3 linked regions of the Drosophila melanogaster genome follow. The gene in region 3 interacts genetically with the main gene of each other region. Each region holds a gene or a part of one and is shown on either strand. Other genes may lie near its edges. The genes, in order: trp, axed and Nmnat.

Region 1 (7,934 bases), 5.0 Mb from region 3:
GTACTGAATTCGGCGATTATGAAAATCACTAGAACTATGTGGACCAACATAGATTTCATATTTGCAAGACTATTTAGGACGAAACACTGGCTTGGCGAATATGTTTTTCGGTCTGATGTTATCCTCGGAACGGTCACGGTTCTTCTGATTCCTCTGGTCGAAGTTCACGTTCTTTTATAGGCCAGAAAAGCAGGCGGATGGATGGCAGACAAACAAATTGCCATCGGAACAACGGGGCGGATGATGAATGTTGCTGCGATGCAAATGAGATGTTGCTGGCAACAGGTGGCCTTTAGCAACAAGTTGCAGAAACGTGGTACTTGAGATTCTTTTTTTTTATTATTCACACAAACAAAGGACTTAACTATTTAATTGCTATGAAAGTGGATTCCGCGGCTTAGAGCCAGCCGGAGATCATGCGTCCTGTGACCGTGGATTTGCCTCGTTCTCCGCCAGCTGCGGCACTGCTCTGACCCACCTTGATCGCCGGCTTCAGAGGAGCTGCTGCTGGCTTCTTGTCCTTGTCATCGGCAGGCTTCTTGTCCTTATCATCGCTCGGCTTCTTGTCCTTGTCGTCACCCGGCTTCTTGTCCTTATCGTCTCCCGGCTTCTTGTCCTTGTCATCGGCTGGCTTCTTATCATTATTGTCAGCAGGTTTCTTGTCTTTGTCGTCGCCAGGTTTCTTGTCCTTATCGTCGCCGGGTTTCTTATCCTTGTCCTTGGCATCGTCTCCTGGCTTGGAGTCTCCTGCAGCCTTTTTTGGCTCCTCCGGACCGCTCTTCTTTTCGTCCGGCTTGGAGGCCCCATTGGTTGCCTTAGTTGCTTCTGGTGCTCCAGCTGCTCCAGGTTTCAGTTTGGAATCCGGCTTGGCATCCGAAGGAGCGGAGGGAGCTGCGCTCTTGGCTGCTCCATTTGTGGCTGCCGGCTTGCTAGCTTCGGTCTTGGAAGACTCCTCCTTTTTGGCAGCGGCCTCGGGCTTGGCGGATTCTCCAGGCTTCGGCGCAGCAGGCTTGGTGTCTCCAGGTTTGGTTGGTGGTGCCGGAGCGTCCTTCTTTTGTGACTCACCGGGCTTGCTGATAGTGCCAGCTGCTTGGGGCTTTGGAGCTCCCGCACCCGGAGTTGGCTTCTGATCCCCGGGCTTGGGACCACCTGCTGACGGCTTGGAGTCCTTGGGAGGCTGCTGCTTATCCTTATCATCACCTGCTTTCTTGTCATCCGTTGGCTTGCCCATCGTGCCGGGCTTGCCATCGGCTCCGGATTTTTCATCCACATTCTTAACCGATGCTCTTAGAGCAGCTGCAGCCAACATAGAAGCTCCTCCTCCAGTTCCACCACTAGTTATGGACTTTTTAGACTGCAAGTGAGATTATATATTAGCCAGGGAATACATATACATATATTGATTGGAACGTACCCCAGAGGCATCCAGTGGCTTCTTTTCGCCTTCGCCATTTGGAGCACCCTCGTCATCGGCCAAGGAAACCTCGTCGGCAGCCATCTTCTTCCGCATGAACTTGACATAAGCCACTCTTGTGGCACGCGTCACATCACCCAAGTTGGGATTGAATTCTGGAGGAGATCAAGGGTATGGAAATATACATACATTGGGCACATCTTTATTAATTTACCAATCAACTGGGTCTGGTTCATCTGAAGACCCTCATTCGCCTGCTCGATGATCTTCCTCCTCAAGCTTCGCTGGCTATGACGTTGCATGGAGGAGCGCTTGGAGCCAATGGGATCGGAGGCGAAAGTATTCTTCCTCGCAATGGCGTTCCAATCCTTGTCTCTGTTGAGAATAATAACCATTATTCAAAGCGTCTTACAGATTTAAGTGGACCTACCCCTTCTGGGTCTTCTTTCTGCCGATGACCTTGGCCAGCGATGAGAATATATCTCGTCCGCTCTCAGATTCGCTCATTTCCTGCTTCAGATTCTCGACGAAGCCGATTTGGAAGTCCTTAAGGATGCGACGTTCCATCACCTTGCCCTTGGTGGTTCGAGCAACTCCTTCAAAAGTAAGTTTAGTGAATAAAATCCATTAAAATCCATTCTAGCTTTGTAGTCTTCTAGCACAACATATTTCAAATTAATATTCAAGATGGGGTGAACTTTATTAGGTATTCAAAAGCTAATTGTAAATAATTATTCATATATACTGCTACTTCTATCTTAAGACACGTGTAAGTTGCCAATTTGGATGTGGGTAGGCTTCCCTTACCCTGCGACTTCTTCTCAATGTCGGGTACATCCCAGTTATTGTTGGTGAAAATCTCCAGCAACTCGAACCGCAAGGAGCTGATGTCCTGGCGCACCTCAATGATATCATCCTCGGTAATGCCGTAATCGTCCCGCCGCCTCTGCTCCGCCGTAATGTACCTCCTGACCAGCAGCTTCATCACTTTGTCATGCAGCGTCTGTGCCCGTTCCATGGACTTTCGCTGGGAGTTGGAACAGGGAGCATTAGAGGGTGGAAGGACACAGAAAGGATGTATTAGACGTCAATTTGACGCACAGATAGCTCTGCATGGGCTTGATTGAAAATGATTTCGCTTAAGATTTGTATTGATTGTGAGCCGCCTCTCACTGTGAGGTGATTCAACTTGAAAAAATCGAACTTTCGAAATGTTACTTACATTTAAAAGTAATATGATAAGAAATATCATTTAAAAGTAGAGTACACTGAATTTAATATATATGTGTGGATTTGTATAATACTTAAACTGAAATATTGAATTTCTCTGAGTGTAACTTACCATGAAGCTCTTGGTTCGTGACGGTCGCTTTCGGCCCAGGGTCTTCCTCAACATCTTCATGTTGGGACAGAGGTTGAAGGGCGGTGGAATGGTGCCGCCATCCTCGAAGTAGCTCATCCACAGCTGGGATCGGGCGAACTTCCACTCAGTGTCGGCTCGCTCCGAGATGATTTGGTAGGAGTTGGACATCATGGCAATCAGCATGTTGAGAAGCACAATGATGTTGATAACCGAATAGGAGCCGAACATTAGCAGTGCCCAGAAGCGGGTGAAGCTCTTGATTCCCGCCAGATCGAAGGAGACCAGGTCCACCAGGCCAAAAGAGGCCCAAAAGAGCGATTGTGATGTTTCGAATAAGCTAAAGTAAATTGAAATGGGATGCCAATATGATAAAGTACATAGAAATGAATGTAATATACTTGGAAAATCTTCGCCAGATGGTACAAGCCTTCTCCTGGTCATCAAAGTCAGCCACATCGGGATGCAGGTGATAGCACTTGTTCTTCTCCAGCTCAGCGTAGTACCATAGCAACTGGTTGAGACCACATCCGAAGGCAAACAACACCAGTGTGTAGATGAAGAAGAACTTGATGATGTCGATTATCATGCGACCCAGTGAAACTTGCAAGGGTCCCAGGTGGGGATTAATGGAGAAGATGTGGACGAGCTTTAGATAGGAGAAGACCATTCCGGCAGCAAAGGCGCCCTCTGATAGAAGCATTGGATCAAACGGATGCCAGTGTTCCCTTGGGAAGTAAGGATCTATGCCCCGGAACCAGAGATCACGCTGAAATCAATTCGTTTCAGTAACTCCAATTTATTCATTAGATTCATATGGACTCACATGGACGATTACCCAAGCGGTGGCCCTACAAAGAATCCACGTCACATAGAACATGTTCGATATGTAGTCCACTATGTTCCAAAGATCCATGATGTACTCAAACAAGCCGTCCGAATATAAAGATTTCAGTTCCTCAAATATTAGAGCCATTATGTAGGTAATGATTGCCAGTTCAATGGGACCCGGTAGTGAACCTCTCTCGTGTTTGCGCCAATCCTCCAGCATGGTCAGCATCCAGGGAAATGCGAGGAGTTCAAAGGTGATTTGCACCACCCTCAGGGAGGCAGCACCCAGGAGCACTGTGAATGGGCGCATATTTAGATGGATGAAGTGTTAAGCACCCACTTTACCCACTCAGGAAGAACATGTAGGAGCAGGAGTGCGTGATGAACTTGACAAAGGGCTTGCGCATGAACTTGGCACCCTCGGAATCCGGGGCCAGGATGTACTTCAAGCTGTAGATGGGGAAGCTGCATCCCAGCTTCACGACATCCATCAGCTGCTGGGAGGCCTGCTTGCGCCGGAAGCCCGGCAGTCCGTCGTACCAAATGGCGGCCAACAATTGTTGGACATTTGGATGTGCCACAAACTAGAAGGGGGAGTAATGTTTATAAATTCAAGCAGGGTACTAAGATCCGTTTCTATATATAAAGCTATTAAATCCCAGTTGGTCTGTGGTGGATTAGGCATGGGTATCTAGCCACAAGCTTGTAACCTTCACAGTTCCTTAATGTGCACGGATTAGTCCGAACCCACCGTTTTTTGCTTATAGCGAATGGCCAGCTTCAGTCGTTCCAGGGTTTGCCGCTGGCCAAGGCACCAGATGTCGTGGGACGGCTCGTGGTTGAAGTTGAGCATCACCTCGAGTTCCATGGATGTGCGTGCGTGATCCAGGAGCGAGGTCCCGAAGTCCTGCACCATCTGACGCATCTCCTGTTGGGCAAACACAAACAAAGGCTCGCATTCGCATTCGCATAGACTCTAGTGGCACACTGGCCACCGCTTACATTGCACACTACTACCGTACCGTGTATTCGGCACGAAACTCCGATTCCATCGCCTGCAGGCGCTTGAGTTCCCAGGACAATTGGAAGGCGGTCAGTACAGGGTCCCGGGAGCTGAGCGCTATCAGCGAGCTGGCGGACAGGGCGCGGTATGCGTTGATCCTCGACTGCGAGTGGCGCAGGGAGTCCGTCATCTGGGAGGTCACACACTCATCGCAGCCGCACCTAGAAACAATTGAGATTAAGCGATGATATACAAAGTGTACGGAACCCAAGAGTTCTATAATAATAAATACATTTAAATCAATCTGAAAGGAGTACAAAGGACCTTCTCTCCTAGCAAGGACATTTATGACGCTGTTAAAGGCTTGAGTCCATTGACCCAATTTAAGAACATTCAAGGACCTGCTCTTCCCACACACAACATTACACCCTGTATTAATATTTCACCCTAATTTGCCCGCAATTATCTAAAATTAGAGGCACCCAGCGATGTGCTACATAAGTGTGTTGCCAATTGGACAAACAATGGAACGTGCCGCTCGAAGGACGAGGAAGCTCACTACATAGCCATATCACCGAGCAACTGCATCCCTACACCACCCCACTCACTTGACGTCGTGCGGCATGGGCAGCGTGGCCCCGCGATCCAGGAGGATTTTGAGTATCTCGTAGTTATTTCGGTGGGCGGCCAGGATAAGGGGCGTGATGTCCACGGTGAAGGTGGACTTGGAGCGGTCCACCGCCTCCCAGCTCTGCCAAAGGAGGGGAAAAGAGTAAGAGTTGTGGCATATTCTGCGGCAGGATGTGACCTACGTATGGCTGGCCCTCCTTGTGGTTGGTCTCCTCCCACTGCAGCAGCTCCTCCACCGCCTCCACATACTCCTCCGAGATGGCGTGCAACAGGGCGTCGCCCACCTCGATGTTATGCTCCAGCAGGATCACCATCAGGTCGAAGTTCTCGTTCTCGATGGCCGAAATGAGGGCGGAGCGGTTCATGGGATCCGTGCAGTTAATGTTGAACTTGTCCGTGCCCTGGTACTCCTCGAGGATCCTTCAAGGACGAAATCATATTAGCCGAGTTACTCGAAGCCATAGGGAGGAAGCCTCACTTCTTGACACCTGGCAAGTCACCCCGCTCGCAGGACAATATGAAATTCTTCTCCACATCGCTGAGGATGTACTCCTCGGCCATCATCAGGTCGTAATCCAGGCGAGACCCCAACGCCTTCTCGGCATCGGATTCCGTATTGCTGCCCATATCTGCACTGATTTACTGGTCTATGCGAACGCGATTATCAGGATCGGATCACTCGGTCACTTCACATCTCACAAACACTATGGGCATTTATCCCTGCTCCTCGGGGAGCCTTGGCGTAATCCTTTCGCGCACTGTATCCTTTAGTGTTCCATCGTGGCGATGTTCCGCCTCCAATTAGCCGCGTTGCACTGCTGAAAAGTGGCAGCCACGGGTCGCTATATTCCACTAATTACATTAGTGCCCAATGTGGCTAAAACTCGGTCAATGTGTGGGCGAACCCCGAGTCAATGGGCCCATTTGACCGCACTTCGGTAATTGTGGGGCTGCATTTGGAGGCAGCAACCGATTTTAGCGATTTCAGTTCAGGAATCTTTCGTCCATTTGTGGTTGCATTGCACGTGATGAGCGACTTTCGATTTTCGAAGCCCCAGCAACGGAATCGCACCACTTTTATGCCTGAAAATCCAAATCAATACTGCCCAGTGGGTTTATATGTAAGTGAAAAACAAAACGTGCTAAATGGAACAATATTATCTGCTTATATTTCGATGAAATGATGCATACAGTTGAGATATGAAATTAAATAGGTGTCTAATATTTTGTACCCAGCAATATAGATCAATGCCCAAAAAAAAAATACGCACTTTGCATACTTTTTGACACCTATTCAAGCCGAAATTCAAAGCTACTTAATATTCAAAAAGTAGCATGAGGGTGTTAATTTGCGAGTAAATAGGGATTCATGGACTTGGGTTCATATCCTAGAACTATTCACCGAGAAAAGCCCTTAAAAATAGGAGAAAATGCAAGCTTTTAAGCTTTTGGCTAACCAACAGAGCCGGAAAACACACCACACCTGCAGTTTACAGTCGAGTATCTACCGAATTGAAATGATTTCGAATGCCTTTTGGGCACTGGGTCAGTGATTCTGACTTTGTGATTGATGAATATTGATTAATCTGCATGGGAAGTGGGAGGGGGAGGTGGGGTGGTGTACATCTAAGACCCAACTCGTCCTTGGCAGCCGAGCGTCTTGAGCCTTGAATGTTGAATGTTGCTTACTTCAGGGCGCTCGCAGGGCTTTTGTGTGTCAATGCACTTGGAACTAAATGCCAGCTCCTGGCTAAAGGCGGAGAAAAGGAAAAGGAACAAGCCCACTTTCACGGAGCAGCCCTTTGAGATGAATGTGTGTGTTCGAAAGGTGGGGTTCAATGGAGCTCCGGGCGGAATGGCATCGTACGTGTTCAAGTCGTACGGGGTTTTTAGCGGGGCCAATGCACTCCACACTCCACTCGCATGGCTTCCAAGAGAAGAGGAAGGAAGTGATGGTGGCCCAAGGAATTTCAAAATTAAAGTCACAGCTGTCGAGGGGAACTCATTAAGTGCGAATTAATTAGAGGCCATAGCTGAAAATACCTGGATGGCATTCTCGTAATTATATAAAGGTACTCCTCATTACACAAATGTGGCTAAATGCACATTCTTCTTATAAGTTCCCATTAACTAAATGCTATGTTGGGTTTATACATGATTTTCTGCAGTGTACAACTGGGTTGCACTCAATGATTCATTGGCCTCCAACAAAACTCCTGCCTTATTTAGCTTTTAAGGACCCTTGTGAGTTATGTGCTCAGTTCTCCACGAGAAAAGCGAAAGAGCTCATTTTCCCTGGGTTTGCGTAGCAGGTTGCACTTTCACTGTCTCCCCACCGGAAACCGTCAAGATTGCGGGATAAAATTCATTTTATGGCCATCTGTATTAAAATTATATCTCTAAGCCCTCAACATGATCGTAAAAATCTATAGTATCAATGCTGATTTGCTTTATGGCACCGATAAGATACTTATGTGTTTAAACAAATTGAATGTACCCACGTAGAAAATGATTTTATGAATTGCATCCGATGAGTAGTATTTAACATTAAATTTATTGTATTTTTAACTGATTCGCAAATCATTGAACACTGATAAGTTTACGTTTTTTATATTGCTGTACAAGCCTCTGCGTTGTTTATTTTTTGTCTTTTTGCTCCTATGTAATCTGGATGACATTAATTTACTGCCCTCCAG
Region 2 (5,181 bases), on a different chromosome or scaffold from region 3:
ATCCAACTTTGTTTGTAAAGACAATCTTTCCAATCGAAAGCTCTAAATCTGAGTCGGATGACATGCATGAGGATGACAAGTTCCCACGCACTAAGCTCCTGCTGTCAGCGCTGCAAATGGTCGACGAGGGCTATCCTATTCCATTGCAGGGCGAGCTACACACTCGTTTCCAAAACTTTAAGTTTACCAAGGATCTGTATGCACCGGTAACCAATCGCAGTCCTATGTTCGGCGTTGATTGTGAAATGTGTCACACGGAGGCGGGTTGTAACGAGCTAACCCGAATCTCTATTGTCAACGAAAATTACGAGACCGTTTATGAAACGCTAGTGTTGCCAAATAACCGGATCACCGACTATCTAACCCAATATTCGGGCATAACCGCAGAAATTATGGAGCAAGTGACCAAGAGGCTGGATGTTGTGCAAAAGGAAGTGTCCGAACTGCTGCCTCCAGATGCCATTCTGGTGGGGCAATCTCTAAATTCTGACTTGAACGCCATGAAAATGATGCACCCGTATGTAATTGACACCAGCGTGTGCTTTAACACATCTGGGGTGCGACGACGCAAGACCAAGCTGAAGGATCTGGCCAAAACCTTTTTACAGGAAATTATCCAGGAGAACATCGATGGTCACGATTCCATTGAGGATTCGCGAGCCACGCTGAAGCTCGTCAAGAAGAAGCTGGCAAACAGCATCGAGTTCGGAGACCAGATCCTCACGCAGCACAAGCAATTACAGGAGTTGGCGAACGCATCCAGCGGTGATACCATATCCAACAATCTGTTTGCACATGTGGCAAAGCGGGATAAGCGCACGGCCATTGTCACGGTCGGCGAGCTGCAGCCCCGTCTAAAGGAAGTGATCGAAAAGGCGGGAGAGGCAGCGCCCAAGGATCAAAGTACGTCGGTGCATGTCCACGAGGTATCTACGGCCAAGGAAGCCATTCGGAAGGTCAATGAAGTTGCACTGGAAAATGCCCTGACAATTGCCAACCTCCGCGTGCCAGAGCAGGACTTTATATTGGACAGTGCACAGCGGAGTGTTGCCAAACTGGACAAGACCATTGATCGCCTGTGGAAGTCAGTTGCGCACAACGGACTCTTCCTCGTCATCATGGGCGGATCCACAGAGTGCTCGAAGGGTGTAGCCAAAATAGCCATCAAGCGACTAAACGGATCGAATCAGACTATGGAAAGTTAGGGAGCTTTTAAGAACCTTACTTATGCTAACCGCCTCCATGGATACCCGCTCCCACTAAGGTCCTGAGTGTTGAAATCCAGCAGATAAATCAAATTTACCGTATCACACTGAAGACATGACCAACAGTTGCATTACCATACACCTGGGAAATGTCCTGCATGCATGAGTGCATCGATGAAAAATTGTAAAATTAAAAACAAATTCGATCAATAACGAATAATAAAATGTACATTTAATTTTTTTCACAAAATTCCATTGGCTTCTGCATAGTTGTATTAAATTAAATGAGCGGTAAAAATTATTATGGATTATTGTATAAAGAAAAAACTATACAAAAAACTAATTATTATTGATTCCATTTTAAAATTTTCTGAAAGGGTCAACATAATACATGGTTTATTGAACCGTAAAAACTGTTCGTGTCCGCAGGCAATTAGAAATAATTCCAGTATCCGTCCGATACATTTTCCGGATGGAGCATTCCAAACTGGCTGCTTGAATTTGACCCAGTTTCGTCTGGTTTGCATTGCCCGATATATGTGGCTGGTGGTGCTCGCTGGCCAGGCGGCTGTGTTGATAAGAGCCACAAATTTCCTACCTCCCTCAATGTGGTGCTCCGTTGTCTAGGGCCCGGCCCGAAAGCCCGAACTGGGCCTCCTCCCTAGAAGCGCCCACGCACTCTCGCTCTCCCTGGCTTTTTCATTTCCCTCTCTGTCGCTTTGGAAAGGGAAAGTCCCCGCAGCGGAGTATCTGTGTCTTATCACACGCTCGAAAATGTTGCGTCTTTTTTGGCTGAGTACTCATACGACCTGTAGGTCGTGCTCAAAGTTTCTATGCGCATGTCCCGCCGCAAGAATTTTCTGAGAATTTTCCCCAATTCCGGTGGAATGTTGCCAGACGGCTGGTGTTTTGCCATCAACTGGCAGGTATTTTCAAATATTATAACATATTTAAGTTCGACTTATGCCTTTCCGGGCCGAACACAATTGAAACTGAAGATTTAAAAGCCCTGGTCAGGATCACTAACTCATATGGTGCCCATATTTTGGACATGGACCAGTATGGTGGCAACGCCAGCCCGGGAAATTTGGTATGTTTTCCTGCTGTCTCGTTTGTTTTTCATATTTTTGGCTTGGCGCTCTTCGTACAAATCTTGTTGTATATACGCTTTTTGGCTCTCGAGCGGAGACGTCGTCGTCGTTGTTGGCTGCCTTTCCCAATTCCGTTTGGCACGAGGCGCGCAAAACTCTCGGATCGGATCGCATCGGATCGAAACGGAAATATATACGCGAGTATCGGCGGGGCTATATGGCCAAAATATCTGTATATATGTATCTGATTATTGGCATAAACAAATCGGCGTAAACAGAATTTGCATTAAGTTTGAAGATTTTGACATCGAGGCGGAAGTTCATAGTTATCTCAGCTGAAAATTGGCGAATAAATTTCGAAAATCGAGAGTTGGCCCATCCGACAAATTCATAAACTGGGGTAAGTCTCTGTGTATAATTAATCAGAATGCAAAGGAATGAAATGCTGTATACAAACAGAGGCGAGCAATTGGCCAACATAAATTGTGTATCCATAAAATACACAGACACTGGCGAATGAAAGCCTGTTCAAAGGAAAGTTTTCCGACTCTCTGCGTCTCTGTGTGTGTGTGGGTGTAATTATGCGCGTGTATGGGTGTATGGAAAAGTCGTTCACTGTGTCAGTGTTTCATTGTATCATCAGCTGGGCATCCATCGCGCATACGCCGCATTGTCAATTGTTACGAGCACTCACGCCCATTCCCCAGCTTCGCCCTTGGCACCAACTGGTTGCCCCAGCGCCAACCGACCCCAATCCCCGCCAGAAATCCCAGAATCGCGCTCTTGATATTGCTCTATTGGCCCATGCCAAACCCCATGAATTTAGCAAAGGTCTCCTCTTTCTTTTGCCAGCTTTTGCAAATTTGTTTCAACTGTTTGTTCCACTTTCATTCAGTGGCCACTCACCCTTTTGTTTTCCCCGCCGAACATGGAACATGTTGCGTAGGGTTTTTCCTTCACCTTCCACACCCCCAGCGATTTTCCTGCGCGTCGAGGGTGAGTTTTTCGCTTTTTTTCCGCCCTTCCCGTTTTCGTGTTTTGTTTGCAATTCGGGAGGCAGCACTTTTGTTAGCTCCAAAGTCCCCTAAAATTTGATTTCTATGAAAGCCGAAGGGAAATTGAATTTTACCCAATTTTTGTAATTATATGGTTTTGTTATTTTTGGTAATCTTCGATACCATAAAGCAGAATATTTGTGAAGTACTAGAGATAACTAATATAGGTTTTTATTCATACTCTTATAATATCGATGGAAAATTTTATACATAATTTTTTCATTTTGCTTGTTACAACTAGTTTCTGTTTAGGCAATTATGTAAATAATATTGCCACCTTTTCTCCAATCAATTCCTATACTTTGAAATTGGCATTTTTGGCGCGTTGCCAAAAGACCAGTGAGCAATTCGGTCGTCATTTGGCTGGATCTTCGCAGGGGATGGATGAGTAATGCAATTTTCCAAGCCAAGAACAAACAACAAATTCCATTTGTTGTATTTGCTCCGCGGCATTCGGTTTGTCCGCAATCAAATCAAATGATGTCATTTTCCCGTTGTGAAAAGCCATCCTGTCCGAAGGTGTCCATAGTGCCATCGATACGTAGTATATGTGTAGTAATATGGTGCCTGGTCGCGGAACAAACGCTCCATGAATGGATGAGTCAGTGGAAGTTACGGGATGGAGGTGTCTACCCATGGCAAATTGAATTACGCATCCGAAGTACTGCAGTTAGGCGGCTTCGGGTGAGAAGTTCAAAATCCAAATCGTATTTGTTACAGATAAGAATGTTTGCTTATTAATAAAGTATGGTAGTGTGACTATCAGAATGATGGGCTTCACGCCAATAATAAGATTGCCACTGCGAAAAGGAGTTCGTTAACCGTATAGTGTGATAAATGGTAATGATAAAACCAAGTAAAGATGATCATATAATTTCATGTTTTTGCATTTTTGTTGCATTAACAGCGAGCGCGCATATAATTTTAAGTAATTTTAGCTTCAACTGTTTCCAAAGTTTCATAATCTCGTAGTACTTAGACTGCTGCCCATGGGCTAATTTTAATAAACCACCTCATTAGGATGGGTATAAATAGAGGAGCCATTGCACTGGCTGCGAACTCTTCCTGCTCCGCCGAAGAATGTGGCAAGTGGTTTATTTTTGAACTATGCGGCAATAGCAGGTGGAATTTGAAGTTGGCAGTGTTCGGCGGATCAGGAAGCGAATTGTACTGGGATTAGATGGGTTGGGCTCCCAGTTCTTTCCCATCGAATTCTTTGGCTTGTTTTTTAGCAGTTTCATTTGTTCGATTGTTTGCTTTGAACCGCGCACATTGCGTGATGTTTACCGGCAGCCAACAAAGTGAGTAATTATGTTAAATTTCGACTAATTAAACATTTTCGCCGCCCGCCTGTTTGGCGTAAATATCGATATTGCTCCACATTGTTGATGCTGCTAATTAAATTTTCCCTTATAAATGCAAATATTTGATTCGGCCCGGCGATCGTAAACGGGTTTTCGAGCGATCCAATCGCTATGTTGATCTTGGGGAAATGCGTGCACAGTGGACCCTGTTGTCACCCAACCGCCCAGCCACCCAATGTCAAGGTCGTTCGTGAGGCGAACTTCGAGTGCTAACTGTTAACAGTTTTTGCTGTTGTTCTGGCCGGTTTCATATGTTTTTTCCCATCTGGAGCTTCCGCTTTACATGGGGACTCATTAGCAGTCTTCGCTGCTCCAGTAGCCCCACATGAAATACATATGTAAACACTAGTGGCATATGCCTCAGCGAGGGCAGATCGAAGAGTATCAGTCTTTCATATCTGTGGTTACCTTAGGCAGATATACCTTAATAGTTAATTATTAACAGTCACATACGACTCAAGCTGGA
Region 3 (4,651 bases):
GCCATGGTCCAGCATTGGGAGAGCAGGAAGGAGGTATAGATCTGCAGGATGATGATAGAAAGCACCAACAGGATGCCAAAGTATCCAAGTTTCACCAGCAATGCCGGCAGCGTGACAAATGGGAAGATGCCAAACAAATCCACCACGTACAGGATGGCGATGAAAAGCGAAAGGTTCTCCGGTTCGTCCTCGTAGGCGCGGAAATGGGGAAGGGCGCTGAACCGCGATCTTCGCAGGAAGGGCAACTGGTCGTGCTGATGCGAGGGCGTTAGCTGGACAGGAGGCCGACGCTTTGGAAGCGCAAAGGACGGAGCGCGCGAAGGGCGTGGCGCGGGTTTAGCATTCTGGCGACGGAAGAAGAACATTCGCGATGTGGACTCTTCCAAGGGAAGCAAGCAACTGCAGTCCCTCTAAGCTTAAACTAATGGTGGCCACTCTCGCCTGCAACTGGCATATTACCATCAACAAGTTCTGACATCAGACACCAAAGCGAAGCCCTGCAACGACTGCAATGTCAATGCACGTCGCCTGAAGTTCAATGCCTTGTCCCTCCACTCCGTGAAGTGACCCACAAAAGCATGGGCAGCCGTCAACTTGGTAACGAACGTGTTTATTTTGCATATTTATATAATATCAACAAATAGCTTCCAGCGCCCCTGTCTTAATCCGCGTGAGATTCGTCTTCCAGTTTCCTAAAGTTGCACTTGGGAAATCTTCTGCTTCTTTGCTTGGCTCTGAAAGAGGGGAATTGATTAGAAGGATCTAAACATAAGTTTGAAAGCAAAACTCTGGATTCCATCTATGTATGAAATGCAATGGATACAGCGGTTAAGGATACCCACCTCCTCTTTCTCATCTGCCTGCATGGTGATGACCTGCACCGCTTGTCCAGGACCGGATCGCAGCACCTTGGATCCACGTAAAGGCACCTCCCCGCAGCAGAAAACCCGCGACGTAGGCGTATGCTGCAGTTGCGGGCTTGGAGTGTCCGACTCGTCCATGTCCTGCTCCAGCTGGTCGCCTATAGAGTAGCTGTTCGCGTTCTTGTTGTTGTCCGTATAGGCGTGGTTAAAGAGCAAATGGTTGGGACGCACCGCATCCGTTATATACTTACTACATTCCATGGGTTAGGCGGGCATGGTCAGTACAATAGCAACAAAGTTAAGGTTATTGTTTAATGGGACTACATTTTGGCAACAATTCGGTGTAAGTAGATGATACGCACACTGACCACCGCAAAACTATGGCTAATTTAACAAGGGTATTTACAAGGGCTAAGATTGGGCAAAAATAAACATGCATTAAAGGAATCACTGCTAAATAGGAACTTGAACTCGGATCTGCTCTGCTCACTCACGCTCCATGAAGAGGCGCCACGGCTCAAACAGCTTATGGTGCTGGTGGGGCAAGTGGTGCGATTTGCGGTGCTGGTGGGTTGGAAAGCGTGTGGGCGACGAGGGCTTCTTTTTCACGTGCAAAGCGCGTCAAGAGTCGCATTCGGTCGGAGCCGGTGCATCCCGCCTGCAGTTTAAGACATAAAAGGAAACAATACAAAGACTGCTGGTGGTGCACGTTAAGTGTGTTCTCTGCTGTGTGAAATGGATTAAGGTGGCGCCTCATTCAGTGTACGTATCGTTTGAAAGATGGGTAATTGTAAGTGAACATGCAGGATTAAGGGGAGGTAACAGGAAGACCACCTACGATTTAAAGTTAAACAATCGTTGGCGCTTGATGTACTCCAGCACCAGATCGTCTAGAAGGTACTTGACCGACTGGCCGCGTCCTAAGAGCCGCCGAATCAACGTGGAGCTCACCTCATTAGGCACCCAGTTGGTGATTAGCGTAATGTTGCTCTGAAATGTGAATGGAAATGAATAAGAAATAATGTTGTCGAGGTACTGTCTCTCTAACCTGATACTTGGTCAATATGTCGGAGTCAAAGATGAATTTTCCTGGGTTTGAGCCGGCCCGGGTGATAACTACCAAACCATGGTTAGCCACAATGTCCTCAATCTGGGAACAATCATATAAAAAAAGGTACTATTCAAATATATCAAGACTTACATCGGCCTCTGCCCATAGGCCTGGAACAGCAAAGGACTCCAGCAGATCGGCACCGCACAGTAGCTTCAGATGTACAGGATCCCGACTGTCGTGCAACCCACGAGGCAGCCATCCGGGTAGATGTGTGTTCTCCCCGTCATCTCCGCCTCCCCCGCCGGAATTTATGTGGTTATTGATATAGTTCTGGTGGTGCTGGAGCACCGCCTGCGTGCGCATCCACTGATTCTGGTGCACCTCCCAATCGGACAACCGAATCCAATTGGAGCTCTGGGTGGCCAGCTTGACCATGGCACATCTGTCCAAGGCGGAGGCCAGACCCTTTTTGCCATATGAGTCGTGCGTGGGCGAGATGATGCCACCTACCACTCTGTGGGTTCCCTGCATTTCGAAGTGGTCCTTGGCTATCTCTGTTGACAAAAACATGCCGCGTAATTTTATCGATTATGTACCGCAGAATTTCACAATCTAGTTTAACTCACCGAACATCCGAAGGTGCATGGGTGTGGGTGGACTGAAGCATCCGCAGGCTATGAAGGCGATCCGCGGCAGCAGGCTTTTTGTTTCCTCGATGAATGCTGACATTTTCTTCGATTTTGAGCGTCTTTTAAAAGATCCAAACCGCCGGAAGCATTCGCTTGTTATGTTGTTCTTGGGCCAGCTGATTTTCACAATCATCTGTTCGGCTTGTTGTTATTTTCCAACACTAAACAGCTGTGCAGTGGCTACCACCTCTGACTACCTTTGACTTGTTATTCGATAAATGATAACTTAATGTAACTTAATTTTTTGATTTTTAATCATCAAAAAGGCAAGAGTACATAAAAATGTATTAAAGCCTGTTTTACTGATATATCAAGAAGTATACAAACATCACTGCGTTTCTCATTAATAAGTACTTTTTTCGGTGTACCACACGAACATTGCTTTCGCTTGCGATAGTTAGCCAGCCCTGCCAGAACGATTGCCTGACGATACTAGTGTTATCGATTAGAAATGGCGTCCTCACTGTCTTTCTTTTAAGAAAAATTCGTGTAGTCTATTTACCATTTAGCAGCGTTGTGTGTGTCCGTTAATTGTAAGGACACGCTGTTTCTTAGAGAGAACCGCCTGGCTAGAGTGTCCGGAAAGCGGAAACCAAGACGATCGCAGGACGAGGTCGCGGAGCCGACTGCAAAAACAACGGCCAGCAGGCAGCGATATGAAAATGCATTTGTAGCCTTAGCCCACAACACTTGCACACACACCACACACTCTCGCGCACACTCACACACAGGGAAAAGGAGGTGGAGCAGAAGGAGCCGAAGCAGGAGAGGATTGCAAGGGACACCGCTGCAGCATCGCCATCATCTGCGCCAGGTGGAACACGAGGGTCAAGAGGCGTCGGCGGGGGAGGAGGAGCAGGAGGTGGAGGAGCGGCTGCGGCGACGACGACGACGTCCACGACCACGGCAACAACAAATGGCGCTGGTGACGGTGCAGCGCTCTCCCAGTGTGGCGGGCTCCTGCTCGAATTCGGTGAGAGGAGACTTGATGGTTTTCGCGTGTGCGTATGCGTGTGTGCTTTGTTTTGGTCACCCCCACTCTGCCAGGAGAGCCAATTACGGGCAGGCTCTTTAGTGCGTGTTCCGCTTTTGGCCATGATCCTTTGTGTGCTCGGATGTGCTTTTCATGCCCAATGTTTATCATCCGCCAGCTTGTTGCTTACGCTTTTTGGATTTCGACGTTCAACGTTCGCGTGTGGGCGGTATGAGGCAGCGTCATCATCGTCATCGGCTGTGCTGCGCTGCGCTGCTTTTGGTGTAACCCAAGCAAATCCGCAGACGTCGCGACGTCTATATTTTTCAACAGACTTTTGCATTGCCTTATTTGTCGTTTTTGTCGCTTTCCGCTTACCGCTTGTTTTTGTTTTCTTCGCCGCCCCACCGCCCAAAAATAGTTCGCGAGACCTTGACGTCCGCCTGCACAGAGGGAAAAATTAATATCGGGGGTTGATCAATTTAATTTTACAAAACGTTTTAATTCAGATATGCTCAATATGTCAAATCGGTATTTTTGAACACATAAATTAACATTTTATTATTTCTAAGAAATCAGAAAATATAAAAAAAAAAAAAATACTTCACTAAACCGGAATCTTTTTCGAACTTGTGACCCTTTTCTCAAAATCAGACGGTATTCAGTTGAACAATCAGATTTCTTGGAACTGCAGATACAGCTTTGCTTCTTTTCCGCCCTTGAAGTGTAGACTATAATCAGGAGTTTATCTTACCCCTTTGCAAAATAATGAGCATGCAAGTTTGTTCTTTGCCAGACGACATCCTTATATTTAGCCTAACCCCACGGGTGAGGTGCAGCAGGATAAGGTATTCTTAAACACCGAGTAAACAACTTTCCTTTCTCTATAACATCAGGATGGCGAGTCCGAGGACGACGAGGGCAATAGCAAAGGAAACGATCGCAGCGAGTGCTTCTTTGCCGGCAAGGGAACCGCCCTGGTACTGGCTCTTAAGGATATCCCGCCCCTGACGCAAAGCGAGCGTCGCCTGAGCACCGACTCCACCCGCTCCAGTAACAGTACGCAAAGCAA

Evidence for each region.
Region 1: of Nmnat (region 3) and trp, changing one suppresses a phenotype caused by changing the other (phenotypic suppression), as found in Drosophila melanogaster (one study listed by BioGRID).
Region 2: of Nmnat (region 3) and axed, changing one suppresses a phenotype caused by changing the other (phenotypic suppression), as found in Drosophila melanogaster (one study listed by BioGRID).

Annotation. Positions count from the first base shown.
Region 1 is NT_033777.3:29,914,199-29,922,132, forward strand, and holds trp (transient receptor potential), read right to left. Parts: upstream 6,092-7,934; 5' UTR 5,866-6,091; coding exon 5,717-5,865; intron 5,659-5,716; coding exon 5,421-5,658; intron 5,360-5,420; coding exon 5,217-5,359; intron 4,830-5,216; coding exon 4,628-4,829; coding exon of another isoform or gene 4,619-4,627; exon of another isoform or gene 4,608-4,618; intron 4,534-4,607; coding exon 4,357-4,533; intron 4,190-4,356; coding exon 3,955-4,189; intron 3,900-3,954; coding exon 3,601-3,899; intron 3,544-3,600; coding exon 3,176-3,543; intron 3,115-3,175; coding exon 2,757-3,114; intron 2,442-2,756; coding exon 2,222-2,441; intron 2,011-2,221; coding exon 1,845-2,010; intron 1,790-1,844; coding exon 1,629-1,789; intron 1,570-1,628; coding exon 1,415-1,569; intron 1,355-1,414; coding exon 398-1,354; 3' UTR 323-397; downstream 1-322. Other genes in the region: Capa (capability), read right to left, coding at 1-59. UniProt on the Drosophila melanogaster protein: A light-sensitive calcium channel that is required for inositide-mediated Ca(2+) entry in the retina during phospholipase C (PLC)-mediated phototransduction.
Region 2 is NT_037436.4:6,607,214-6,612,394, forward strand, and holds the start of axed (axundead), read left to right. Parts: upstream 1-2,111; 5' UTR 2,112-2,256; coding exon 2,257-2,295; intron 2,296-2,363; exon of another isoform or gene 2,364-2,696; intron 2,697-5,181. Other genes in the region: Rexo5 (RNA exonuclease 5), read left to right, coding at 1-1,205.
Region 3 is NT_033777.3:24,943,346-24,947,996, reverse strand, and holds Nmnat (nicotinamide mononucleotide adenylyltransferase), read right to left. Parts: upstream 2,761-4,651; 5' UTR 2,740-2,760; coding exon 2,544-2,739; intron 2,472-2,543; coding exon 2,065-2,471; intron 2,014-2,064; coding exon 1,912-2,013; intron 1,854-1,911; coding exon 1,702-1,853; intron 1,522-1,701; coding exon of another isoform or gene 1,485-1,521; exon of another isoform or gene 1,164-1,484; intron 1,114-1,163; coding exon 843-1,113; intron 735-842; coding exon 693-734; 3' UTR 597-692; downstream 1-596. Other genes in the region: mah (mahogany), read right to left, coding at 1-365; ssh (slingshot), read left to right, coding at 4,348-4,407, 4,476-4,651. UniProt on the Drosophila melanogaster protein: Catalyzes the formation of NAD(+) from nicotinamide mononucleotide (NMN) and ATP. Essential for viability.